3 linked regions of the Callithrix jacchus genome follow. The protein of the gene in region 3 interacts with the protein of the main gene of each other region in a pairwise test. Links are inferred from orthologs where the notes say so. Each region holds a gene or a part of one and is shown on either strand. Other genes may lie near its edges.

Region 1 (4,031 bases), on a different chromosome or scaffold from region 3:
ACCACTGTCAAGTCTCTGCTCTTGGACCCTGGGTTTCTCATCCTTTAATGAGGAGGTGGGCTCAGAAGCTCTCCCATCTCCACAGCAACCCTGGCATTGGCTTCTCAGTGGGAGGGAAGCAACAGAGAAACTGAAGTATTAGACACTGTGTGTCCCCCCACCCCATAACAAAGATATATGACAGTGTTCAGCAGGTCATCTTTAATGCAGAGAAGGAGACAGGATCTCACTCGCTGTCTGGAGGCATGTGGGTGGTGTGCAGGCCCTCACTGGCCAGCCCCTGGGTGGCCCCGCCTGTCCCAGTATGACCGTAGCCAGCTCAGGCCCTCTACTGTATCTCCTGCAAGGAGAGACCTTGGCGTCTCAGCCCACATGGAGAAAACGGCCCCTGTCCAAGTTCCTCCAGAACTCCCTTCCCCAGGGCCATGCCTCACCTTGAGGCCGATACTCGCAGCCCACAAAACCTTTGTAGCCTTCATCTTCCAGCAGTTGAAACAGATAGGGGAAGTTCAGCTCTCCGGGGCTGCTGGGCTCCCCTCGGCCTGGGACCTGTGCCACCTGCACGTGCCCTGGGGACAGATGAGGACAGATGTAGGGTCCGGGCTCCTGCCGGGGCCTGAAGGACAGACGTGGGGATTGAAAGGGTGAAAGAGCAAAGAAAGCTCCTCTCACCGACAATGGGCAGGAACTCCCGGATGTTTCCTGTCAGGTTCCCATCCATGATCTGCCAGTGGAATATGTCCTGGGGAAGAGGATTCTACAGTCCAAGACCCTATAGGCTCTGCCTTGCTTCCAAGATTGAGAGAACATGGGCTCTCTGCAAAGTACCCCCTTTCTTCCACTTACCATTTGTAATTGGAGGTTGGGTCTTCCCACCTTCTGTAAGATGGCTGCCGCTGGAAGAGAAGCCAGGGAGTGGGCCATGAGCCTCAAGGAAAGCACAGGTATCCAAGGGACAGAAGGATCCACAGGCCTGGGGTCCTACCCTGCTGAGGCGTGTCCAGGAAGTACTGGGGGTCAGTGATGCGGGTGTTGATGGGCTCCAGCAGTCCCACAAGGTCCTCCTAGCAGCATGTCGGGTGCTGTGAATAGAGCTCCTTCCCAAGTTTGTCCCCCATCAGTCACTGGTCAAGGCCCTCACCTGTCCTTCTGACCTAGGCCGGCAGCCAGCCTTGTGCCTCACATGCTGTCCCCACTGTGCAACCGCTCCGCTCTGTGTTTCCACCTTTCTCACCTGAGCCAAAACCCCAGCTGCATGCCTCAGATTCTCTAGAAAAACGGTCTCCATCTCAGCCTTGACTGCTGCTGGGTCAGCCCCCTGGGGTACTCGGCCAGCCATCAGGTGGATCCTGTGGAGAAGATATACTGGAGGCCTTGCCTCCCTTGGCTCTCTCTACACCTCTCGCAGGATTCCCTGACTATGCTGGCCTCACCTGTCTCCCCAGGTCTCCAGTCCATGACACCTGCGTCACGACGCCCAGGCATCCGGGCACTTTCAGACACTTCAGTGACAGTTGAGGGGCAAGCCCTCTCCCAAACACCTCAGTGTCCACTCCCCCCTACCCCCCACCTCCAGTAATTTCCACCTCTCCTTCCCTCAGTCATTCTCAACATACAACCTGCTAAAGTCTCACCTTTAAAAATTATCCTGACCCTTGCCCTTCTCAAGTATGCCATGCTGCTGTTTCTACTTCCTCTCCTCACATCTACTTCTTAGCCTCTTCCCATCTGTTTTCTCCCCTACCATTCACCAGTAGTGATCCCATTGCCAGTTCCTTCTGAGCCTGTTTGGCCTCTGCAGGATTTGGCATTTGACCAGCTCCACTTTGAGCCGTCCACCTCCTGCCATCACTCGGATCTTAGCCACATTCAGCTTCAAGCCAACATTCCAGGTCTCCCCACCCCAACAGGCTACCCATCCAGCCTCAGGAACGCTGCTCAACACACCAGGCCTCCTCTTGCCAGGAATACTCTACCTCCTGCTCATCAAGCAATGCCCACTCCTTCAAGACAGTCCAAGCATCACTACCTGTAAGCAGCTTTCTCTGATCCAGACAGGGTTAGGTGCCTACCCTGCTCCCACAGCTTACTTGAATAGGCCCGTCCTCAAATGGATCACTGCATATATTTCTATCTCCCTAGGCAGACTGAGCTCCCAGCATGGGATCCCGGCATGGGGTGAGCATGAAAGAGTGGCAAACAGACTGGCACAGGACAGATAAAATATAAAAGACAGTTTACAAAGGACCAGGACCGCAGGGGCGGAGATAGGCCAGTGGGCTCAGACTTCTGAACGTCTCATACCTGGCGTCCTCGACGCCCTTAACCTGCGGCAGGGTCATGGGTCACAGAGGGGTGGGGGATGGGGGTACCTGGGACAGCCCAGGGCCTTGGCGTACCGCACAGCCTGCTCCAGACCTTCTCGGAAGGCCTCCTGTCTCCCGGGGACGGCCCCCAGCCCCATTTCCCCCTTCTCATGATCTCCTGCAGAGAGAACTGGCCTCAGCCCCCAGGTCCGGCACCCACACCCGGGTCCCTCCAGCCCTCCCGGCCTGCCACGCACCCGGAGGCGTGTTTATCAGCACCAGCCGCAGCCCCGCTTCCCGCGCCGCCCGCGCCAGCGCCTCGGGCGGCTCCGCGTAAGGCCAGGCCACCTCGGCGGCCTCGAAGCCCGAGCTGCCCGCGGCCCGCAGTCGCGGGAGGAGGCCGGGGAGCTCCGGGAATAGCCAGGACAGATTGGCAGAGAAGCGCAGCGGCGCCATGATGGGGGAGGCCGGACCGGGCAGAGTCCGCAGGCCCCGGAGGCGGCGGGCGGGGCGGGGCTCTCCTTGCTGACCCGGCGAACAAAAGCGCACTGTTCCGGGTTAGAAGAAGCGAGGTGCTGTAAAAACCCGGGTCTTCGTGGAAAGCGCCTTTAGTTAGCTAGAGAGGAAGCGCGGGGAGAGGCGGAGGGGCGGGGCGAGGGTGGCACCAGGAGGAGGTGGGGAGGCCGGGCCGTGAGCCTGAGAACCGGCTGCCCAAGGGCACGGTTACGACGATGGGACGGGCACTTTAATACTGAGTCTCTCCTCTGATTATAAAAATGCTATCTGTTCATGAAGCAGCATTTGAAAGCTGTATGACCAAACAAGCACTTTTATACCACCAGTTTTCACGACACTAGCCTGTTAGCTTGCCCGTCCAAGTTTTAAAATATGCCATTTTTTCTTTGAAAATTCTGACCATTCGGTGTATGCGGTTTTATAGGCCATTTTTCATGGAATATTATTTTGTGAACATTTCCTCGTGTTTTCCAATAGCCTTCAAAGTCAGCGCCTTCGCTGCTCATTGTCGCACACGTAAGCACCGAGTCATTATTGTATCCGTGGATGGATAACACGCGCGCACTGCAAGCGCACTTTCATGCACGTCTTAGTACCTATCTCGGACTCTTTTTCGAGTCCTTTTCTAGAGATGTCCATCACAGTGTTTGTCCGTTCACACCGTTCGTCTTTTGCAAGGGAAGCCGCCCCATTAAGCAGCTATGGGTGAACTGTCCCCTTAGCCTTAGCCTCAGCTGATTGAACCAGGGAGGTCATCTGATCTCAGGGCAGCCAATCCATAGACTGGCCAAAGACCTCTTACTTGCACCGTTTGGCGAGATAATCTAACCAATCAAGAGTACAAACAAGGAAATGCTGAGAGTCAACAGGTGGTGGTGCCGGAAGATGACTGGGCTGTAGAAAAGAAATAAGGCAGAGTCCTATGGTACAAAAAAACTAGAGCGGAAAGGAGGGGGAAAAAGCCCTGTGAATAGAGGTAGCACACTGAGAAACTCCTGTCGTCCCAGGGGTGCCCAAACCCATTGCTGCTCCCAGGTGTGTGCACTTAAGGCTGGAATCCTTAGACTTTCCTGGGTTTTGGTGTCTGTATACCCTTTTAATGTTTCCTGAGATGATATGAATGATTTACTTTCATCTTCAGTAACTCAACTGATGGGGTAGGTACTTATAGGTAGAATTACATGGTCAAAAATAGGAACATATTTAAGT
Region 2 (4,285 bases), on a different chromosome or scaffold from region 3:
GCTGGTCTTGAACTGCTGACCTTGTGATCCGCCTGCCTTAGTCTCCCAAAGTGCTGGAATTACAGGCATGAGCCACCACGCCCAGTCTCTCTCCCCCTGAATTCTAAATCTTTAACATCCAGGCCCTGGCTGCTTCAGGCCAGAGGCTCAAATCCATGGACTAAAGGAGTTGCCCCTTCCACTACTTGCTACTTTATTCTCTGGGTCCAGCTCCATACTCTAAATTCTGAGTTTCAGCCACTGAACTCCAAGAGTCCACATCTCACCAGCAAGGAAGAGCAGGGTATGGAATTCATCTGTCTCCTCACTGTTTAGGGCATGGCATGCTCCCCTTCAACAGTCTCCTAGAAGGAAAGGATCTGCCCTGACCATTCCGCTGGCGGGCACCATTGCTTCTCTCTGTGCCTCTGGGATCCCCCTCCCACTTCGCCACCTCTGGCTTCCACTCCGAGAAGCTGGACCAGGGTCTGCAAGTTCAAAGGCAGTGGCTGTCCCTCCAGGCCCCACACCTTGCCTCAGCACTCCCGGCCCTAGTGTCTGCACCTCCTTAGGCCCTGCCTCTGAACCTAGTCAAGAGGATTCTCCCGTTCTTAACTTGGGGCTTCCTGTTCTGGATGCTCTGCAGGAAAATAAAAGCCTGATTTTTCTACGTACTGCATGTAGTCTGTCAGTGTCTCCCAAGCTGCAGGGCTGAGTTTGGGAAGGAAAGCCAGAGGGAGCCTGCGAGCCCGCGAAGTGGAGTCTGGGCAGCCACCACGCCCTCTGGCAACCGCTGGCCTTCGACCACCGCGCCCCCGCTGACCCGCCCCCACTTTGCCAGAGAGGCCGGGTCCCCATTCCTTCAAATCCCCTTCCCCCACTCCCCAACCCCGCAGCTGACCAAGAGACTCATGGGAGGCAGGTTGAAGCTAGAAAGAGTGGGGACAGCAGCTCTGGTAGGAGAACGAGCTTCCAAAACTGCTGGCTTCTGAGCGCCTCTCCTGCCGCCCCCTCCTCAAGGCCTCCTGGTGGCTGCCCTCGACCCGGCAAAAACAAAGACTGGCCGGAGAAGGCAAAATCGCGGGGAGGGCTGAGAGGCAGGAGATGGGAAGGGCGGGCCCGGCTCCTAGCAGCTGCCGCTTCCTCCCAAAGTCCCACGAGGGGCCTGAGTCACGGGCCACCGCCCTGGGTCGGCGAGCTGGGGGAAGGGATCTGGACACCTGGGTTCTTCAGGGCTACCGGGAGGGAAGCGGTTGAGGGCCCCTGGGGACACAGAGCAGAGGACCAGGGGTTGGGGCGAGTAGGGGGCAGTCCCAGAGCCAGTCCCACGCGCGGTGGGAGGGAGCCCCGCCCTCCCCTCGGGCTCCGCCCTGCGCCCCCTTCCCTCTCCTCATTGTCCTTAGACAAAGCGGTCGCCGCCCCCGCCCGGCCCCCTGATCTCTGTCTCCGTCCCTCCTCCTTTGCTGCCTCTTTCCCTCCTCCTCTCCCTCCTCCTCCCCTCCCTCCAGTCTCCGGATCTCCCTCGGTCCCTCTCTCCTCCTCTTCCTCTCTCTGGACGCCCGGCTCCTCCGCACCCCCTCCCAGGGGGGCCCCACGGCGTGTGAGTTGACTGAGGGGCTTAGACTTGGGGAGGGGGTGTCTCCTCGCTCCCGTCCCTGGCCCGGACCTTGGCTGTCTCCTCTTTGTGCCGAGATTGTCAGTCTGTGCAGCCAGAGCGGGGTGGAGACAGCTGGCTCTGTCACGGCTCCATGAGAGCGGGGACCGGGCATGGGACTCGCAGGCGCTGGAGAGAAGAGGCATGGAGCCGGCCCTCGGCACTCCGGGGTCGCCGGGCGCAGACGGCGGGGGAGGCAGGCGGTATTGACGGGACTGGGTGGGGGTGGATACCAGGGTTCTGGGAACGCGCTGGCAGCCCCGACGCCCGGGTTCCGAAAGTCCCGGGGTGGGTATTTCCCCCGACCCGCCTCGGGGGCGGAGTGCGGGGCAGAGGGGTGGGGGCTGGGGAGAGGCGTGGCCCCAGCGGCACTGGAAGCGGAGCAGGGACCTTTGGGGCCCGCGCTGAGACGCTCCCGGCCGCTACCGCCGCGCTCCCTTCCCCTCTTCCCTGGTTTCCCTTCTCCCCTAGACCTGCTCGCTCTCCGCTCCTCCCTGCCTCCTCGACACCCCCTCAGGTCCCGTTGCCCTCCTCGGGAGGGATTCCCGGTCCTTCCTTCCCACACTCACCTCCCTGGGGTATCGCTGAGGCAGCCAGGCCTGCACCCGGGTTCCCCTCATCCCTGCCCCTTTTCTCTTTTCACCCTCATAGCAACTTTTCTTTTCTCCCATTCTCTGTTTCCCACATCCTAGAGACTGTCTTTAATACGCATTAACCCTGTACTGCCACATCTGGCTCCTGTCCTCATTGCCTCCAATCTGGACTCTTCCTCTCACATCGCCCCCACCACCCCCAACTTGGGCTCATAACTTCTCTTCACTTTTTCCATTTCCCCTGTTCTCTGCCGTCCCTCTTTCCCTTGGTCCTCATCCTCAGCTCCTCTGCCCTGCTCGTGGTCCCACCTCTCCCCCTCCACTTCCTCCCCTCCCACCCTCAGTCTCACTCCCTGGGCCTCTCTGGAGCCTCTTCTTCCTGTTCTCTGCCCCCAGTGCTCCCTACCCTCACCTCAAGGCGACCATGACCACCATCCCAGACTGGAAGCTACAGCTGTTAGCCCGGCGCCGGCAGGAGGAGGCGTCCGTTAGAGGCCGGGAGAAGGCAGAACGGGAGCGCCTATCCCAGATGCCAGCCTGGAAGCGAGGGCTTCTGGAGCGCCGCCGGGCCAAGCTTGGGCTGTCCCCTGGGGAGCCTAGCCCTGTGCCAGGGACTGCAGAAGCCGGACCTGCAGACACAGATGAATCTGCGGTCCTTCAGGAGGCCATCGGGCCAGTGCACCAGAACCGATTCATCCGGCAGGAGCGGCAGCAGCAGCAGCAACGGAGTGAAGAGCTGCTAGCTGAGAGAAAGCCTGGATCTCTGGAGGCCCGGGAGCGGAGACCCAGCCCTGGGGAGATGCGGGATCAGAGCCCCAAGAGAAGAGAGTCAAGAGAAGAGAGACTAAGTCCCAGGGAGACCAGAGAGAGGAGGCTGGGGATAGGGGGAGCCCAAGAGTCGAGCCTGAGGCCTCTGGAGGCTCGGGACTGGAGGCAAAGCCCAGGAGAGGCGGGAGACAAGAGCTCCCGACTGTCAGAGGCACGGAAATGGAGGCTGAGTCCTGTAGAAACTCCAGAGCGGAGTCTGAGACTAGCAGAGTCTCGAGAGCAAAGCCCCAGAAGAAAAGAGGTGGAAAGTAGACTGAGCCCAGGGGAATCTGCCTACCCGAAGTTGGGCCTGACAGAGGCCCATAAATGGAGACCTGACTCCAGAGAGTCTCAGGAACAGAGTTTGGTACAACCAGAGGCAACAGAGTGGAGGCTGAGGTCAGGAGAAGAAAGAAAAGGCTACTCAGAAGAATGTAGGAGAAAAGAAGGGAGGCCAGTTCCAGGGGTGGCCCCAGAAGAGACTACAGAGCTGTCAGAGACCCTGACAAAGGAGGCCCAAGGCAGCAGTTCTGCAGGAGTGGAGGCTGCAGAACAGAGGCCTATGGGAGACAGTGAGAGGGGCATGAAGCCAACAGAAGGGTGGAAATGGACCCTGAACTCTGGGAACGCTCGAGAATGGACACCCAACGACAACGAGGCTCAAACTCAGAAACCAGAACCTCCAGAGTCAGTGGAAAAGCGTCTGGAGCCTCCCGGTGTGGAAGCTGGAGAAGGGGAGGCTGAGAAGGAGGAGGCGGGAGCTCAGGGCAGGCCTCTGAGAGCCCTGCAGAACTGCTGCTCTGTGCCCTCCCCCCTCCCACCAGAGGACGCTGGGACTGGAGGCCTGAGACAGCAGGAAGAAGAAGCAGTGGAACTCCAGCCCCCACCACCAGCCCCTCTATCTCCCCCACCCCCAGCCCCAGCTGCCCCCCAACCTCCTGGGGATCCCCTCATGAGCCGCCTGTTCTATGGGGTGAAAGCAGGGCCAGGGGTGGGGGCCCCCCGCCGCAGTGGACACACCTTCACCGTCAACCCCCGGCGGTCTGTGCTCCCTACGACTCCCCCAGCCACCCCAGCCTCTCCAGCCACAGCTGATGCTGCAGCCCTGGGGGCTGGGAAGAAGCGGTACCCAACTGCCGAGGAGATCTTGGTTCTGGGGGGCTACCTCCGTCTCAGCCGCAGCTGCCTTGCCAAGGGGTCCCCCGAAAGACACCACAAACAGGTAGGGGAACAGCCGAGCCAGACTTCTTAG
Region 3 (3,500 bases):
TTTTTAACACAACTGCCACTCTCAAATTTCAGGATGAACTTTAAGTGAGTTTGGGAACTTAGAGCCTTTTTGGGCATACACTGCAGGAAACAGCCTCATTATCTTCCCTTTTTATCTCACACCTTCAGGAGTGTCAGTGTGGTTAATAAAAATATTAGGTAGCTCCAAGGGCACAAGAATCACATTTGCCTTTCCTTGGTCTTGCCAAGACAGAATTCCTAGAGCCATGGAGCAGATGATATATACTTTATGGGAATGTGACAATTACCAGTGCTCCTTGTATAATGGAACTCCAATTCTAAAAATCTGTTAAATGCATCTGAAAGTCTTAGGGTTAGTTACCTCTGATACTCCCTTGTCAAGTGTTTCCTATTTTTAGTATCAGATAAAAATAGGACATTTTAGTACAAACCTGTTTTGATTAGTGCCCTTTTACTGATCTGCTTTCTATTTCCTTCTTAGTGTGTCCTTCCTTGACTCTCATTCATATTGCTTCACCTGTATGACTGTGTGCAAGGTCATAGAAACAGTAGGTTTTCTGTTGATGTTTGCTGAAGAAAGGATGTTACCTGGTAATCCCACCATGCTACTCTGCCCAGAAAGTAGAAGCTATTTACAAAACTGGCTGTAGATTCATCATTTATAAAATTCATTGTTGTTTGTTTTTTGTTCATCTATTTCAGCCCAGTTTTATTAGAGAAAGCAAGTGGTAGCCTGGGATGAAAACTGTGATGGATGACATTATGATGTTCATAACCTTTTTCCTTTTCTTCATCTAGTAATAGCAATGGAAACACCTGCACACTACCCTTCCATTGCTATCAAAGCCTTGAAAAAGGCTTTATTGCTCTACAAAAAGGAAGAATCAGTTGATATTTCACAATACAGGTTAGTAAATATAATTCAAAACTTAATCCAGTTTTTTGATAGCCAAAAGAACTATAGTCAATGTCTCATAAGTAACCAGTCATTCTTAACTGACCCAATTTAAAAGATGACATGGGATGATCTGAGGGCACTCCTGTGACCAGCTCCATACTGAGAGTTGTATTATAGACCAATAATTATTCAGCAAAGTCAAGGAGCTTGGGTTTCCCAAATGAGAATAAAAGGGGAAAAGTTGCTTCTTTGTGCGAATCTGTATATATAATAAAACTGCTAAGTATCTTTCTTTCTTTGTTTCATTACTAAATAATATTCCAAATGTACAGAGGTTAATATAGCAAACACCAATGTCTCCACCACCCAGATTTATTTGTTTTATTTTTAGAGATGGAGTCTCATGATTTTGCCCAGGCTGGATTTGAACTCCTGGGCTCAAATGATCCTCAATCTCAGTTTCACAAGTAGCTGGAATTACAGGCACATAGCACCCAAATTTAACAAATGTTAACATTTTTCTATGTTTGCCTCATTTTTTAAGCACTTTGAGCACCAATAAGTGCTGTATAAAATATTATCTACTGGGGACTTTTTTGTTTTCTACGTCCAGACATAGGGAAAAATAGATGTTGTGTGACTTTTTTGTCTGGAAAACATCATTACAGTCTTCCTGTTTTAAGACATGAAAGACAGTTCTTGTGGAATCATTCCACTTTAAACACCAGTTCCCTTCCCCATTTGAGGAAGTACTGAGATGCTTTAAATGCCTGTAAATTGAACCAGCTCATAAAATATAATAGACAGCCACAACTTTTTCGTTCAGGAAGCTAAAAAAAAGAATGAAAGACAACCATAGGCATGAAAAAAGAAAGGATTGGTCAACCTGTTTTACAGCTTCAAAAATCTGTCTTCTGAGGTTGGAAGCCAGATAAAATCAAGGGAAGAACAGAAGTGTTTTGAAACTGTTAGTCTGGGATGAGATCCAGATTTTACTTATCTTAGCCATGAAGCCAATGATTTCTTTCCTTATGGGATGAGTTTTCTCTTTTTGATTTTTAGCAAATGTATGCACAACTTGATTAACCTCTCAGTGCCAGATGGGGCATCAAGTGTAGAGCTCTGTCCCCTGGAAGAAGTTTGGGGCTTTTTTGAAGATGCTCTGAGCCACATTAGCCGCACCGTAAGTCAAATAGTAATATTGAACTTTTGGTTAATTTTAAAGAACTGAACTGTCTTGTGTACTACAAATTATATACAATAGTGCTTTCTTATATGAGTTTTAGGAAAATTCGTATTACAATTTTGTAGTTACACACTACAGAATTTTCCTGGGTTTCTGAAATATTAATAGTTGAAAGTAGGTATTTTCTAACACAAGTGTGTTATGGATTAGGTCAAAATAGCAGTACTACCAGGCATTTTGAATTATTTTGTATTTTCAAATCATGGTGGGATGATTATTTTCTCTGTGATTCTATGAACCTTTTGAAAAGGTTATTGCTATTCTCGTCCTTTCTCAGAGGCAGGTGATAGAGTAGAAGGAACATTGAAAACCTGTATTCTAGTTCCTCCTCTGCTGATTTCTTTTTCTTTTTCATGAAGGTTTATTCAGTGGTTTTAAAGTTAGCTTTCCTGAGGTATAATTTACATATCATAAAATTCACCCCTGGCTTGTGCACAATTCAGTGAATTTATAGAGTTGTGCAATTAACACTACAATTCAGTTTTTTTTAATTTAAAAAATGTTTTCAATTTTTGTGGGTACATAGCAGTATATATATTTATGGGGTACATGAAATATTTTGATACAGGCATATAATGCATAATAATCACATCAGGTTAAATGGGGTATCCATCACCTCAGGCATTTATCCTTTGTGTTACAAGCAATTCAATTATACTTTTAGTTTTTAAAAATGTACAATTAAATTATTGTTGATTATAATCACCCTGTTGTGCTGCTAAGTACAGATCTTATTCATTCTAATTTTTGTACCCATTAACCATTCCCACATCTCCCCCCCACCCCTCCTCTGGTAAACATCATTATACTCTTTCTCTCCCCAACAGTTCAATTATTTTAATTTTTAGCTTTCACAAATAAGTGAGAACATGTGAAGTTTGGGGTGTGTGCGTGTGTGTGTGTGTGTGTGTGTGTGTGTGTGTGTGTTGGGCTTATTTCATTCAACATACTGACCTTCAGTTCCATCCATGTTGTTGCAAGTGACTGGATCTCATTCTTTTTTATGGTTGAATAGTACTCCGTTGTGTATAGGTACCACATTTTCTTTATCCATTCATCTGTTGATGGACACTTAGGTTGCTTCCAAATCTTAACTATTGTAAACAGTGCTACAACAAACATAGGAGTACAGATACCTCTTTGATATACTGATTTCCTTTCTTTTGGGTATATACCCAGCAGTGAGATTGTTGGATCATATGGTAACTCAATTTTTAGTTTTTTAGGAACCTTCAAACTGTTCTCCATAGTGGTTGTACTAATTTATGTTCCAACAGTGTATGAGGGTTCCCTTTTCACCACATCCTTACCAGCATTTGCTATTGCCTGTCTTTTGGATATAAGACATTTTAACTGGGGTAAGATGCTGTCTCAT

The links.
Region 1: the proteins of TEX11 (region 3) and HYI interact in binary tests that used the Homo sapiens proteins (3 or more experiments, as listed by UniProt). The two-hybrid records come from large-scale screens. The link is inferred for Callithrix jacchus from reciprocal best matches to the Homo sapiens genes TEX11 and HYI.
Region 2: the proteins of TEX11 (region 3) and PPP1R18 interact in binary tests that used the Homo sapiens proteins (3 or more experiments, as listed by UniProt). The two-hybrid records come from large-scale screens. The link is inferred for Callithrix jacchus from reciprocal best matches to the Homo sapiens genes TEX11 and PPP1R18.

The regions. Positions count from the first base shown.
Region 1 is NC_133508.1:80,108,700-80,112,730, forward strand, and holds HYI (putative hydroxypyruvate isomerase), read right to left. Parts: upstream 2,801-4,031; 5' UTR 2,763-2,800; coding exon 2,564-2,762; intron 2,485-2,563; coding exon 2,373-2,484; exon of another isoform or gene 2,223-2,372; coding exon of another isoform or gene 1,911-2,222; intron 1,350-1,910; coding exon 1,235-1,349; intron 1,065-1,234; coding exon 986-1,064; intron 897-985; coding exon 847-896; intron 758-846; coding exon 673-757; intron 570-672; coding exon 435-569; intron 341-434; coding exon 267-340; 3' UTR 187-266; downstream 1-186. Other genes in the region: KICSTOR complex protein SZT2, read left to right, coding at 1,911-2,222. UniProt on the Homo sapiens protein: Catalyzes the reversible isomerization between hydroxypyruvate and 2-hydroxy-3-oxopropanoate (also termed tartronate semialdehyde).
Region 2 is NC_133505.1:35,482,941-35,487,225, reverse strand, and holds the start of PPP1R18 (phostensin), read left to right. Parts: upstream 1-1,485; 5' UTR 1,486-1,777; coding exon 1,778-1,836; intron 1,837-2,622; coding exon 2,623-4,255; intron 4,256-4,285.
Region 3 is NC_133524.1:67,855,618-67,859,117, reverse strand, and holds part of TEX11 (testis-expressed protein 11), read left to right. Parts: intron 1-779; coding exon 780-888; intron 889-1,941; coding exon 1,942-2,062; intron 2,063-3,500. UniProt on the Homo sapiens protein: Regulator of crossing-over during meiosis. Involved in initiation and/or maintenance of chromosome synapsis and formation of crossovers.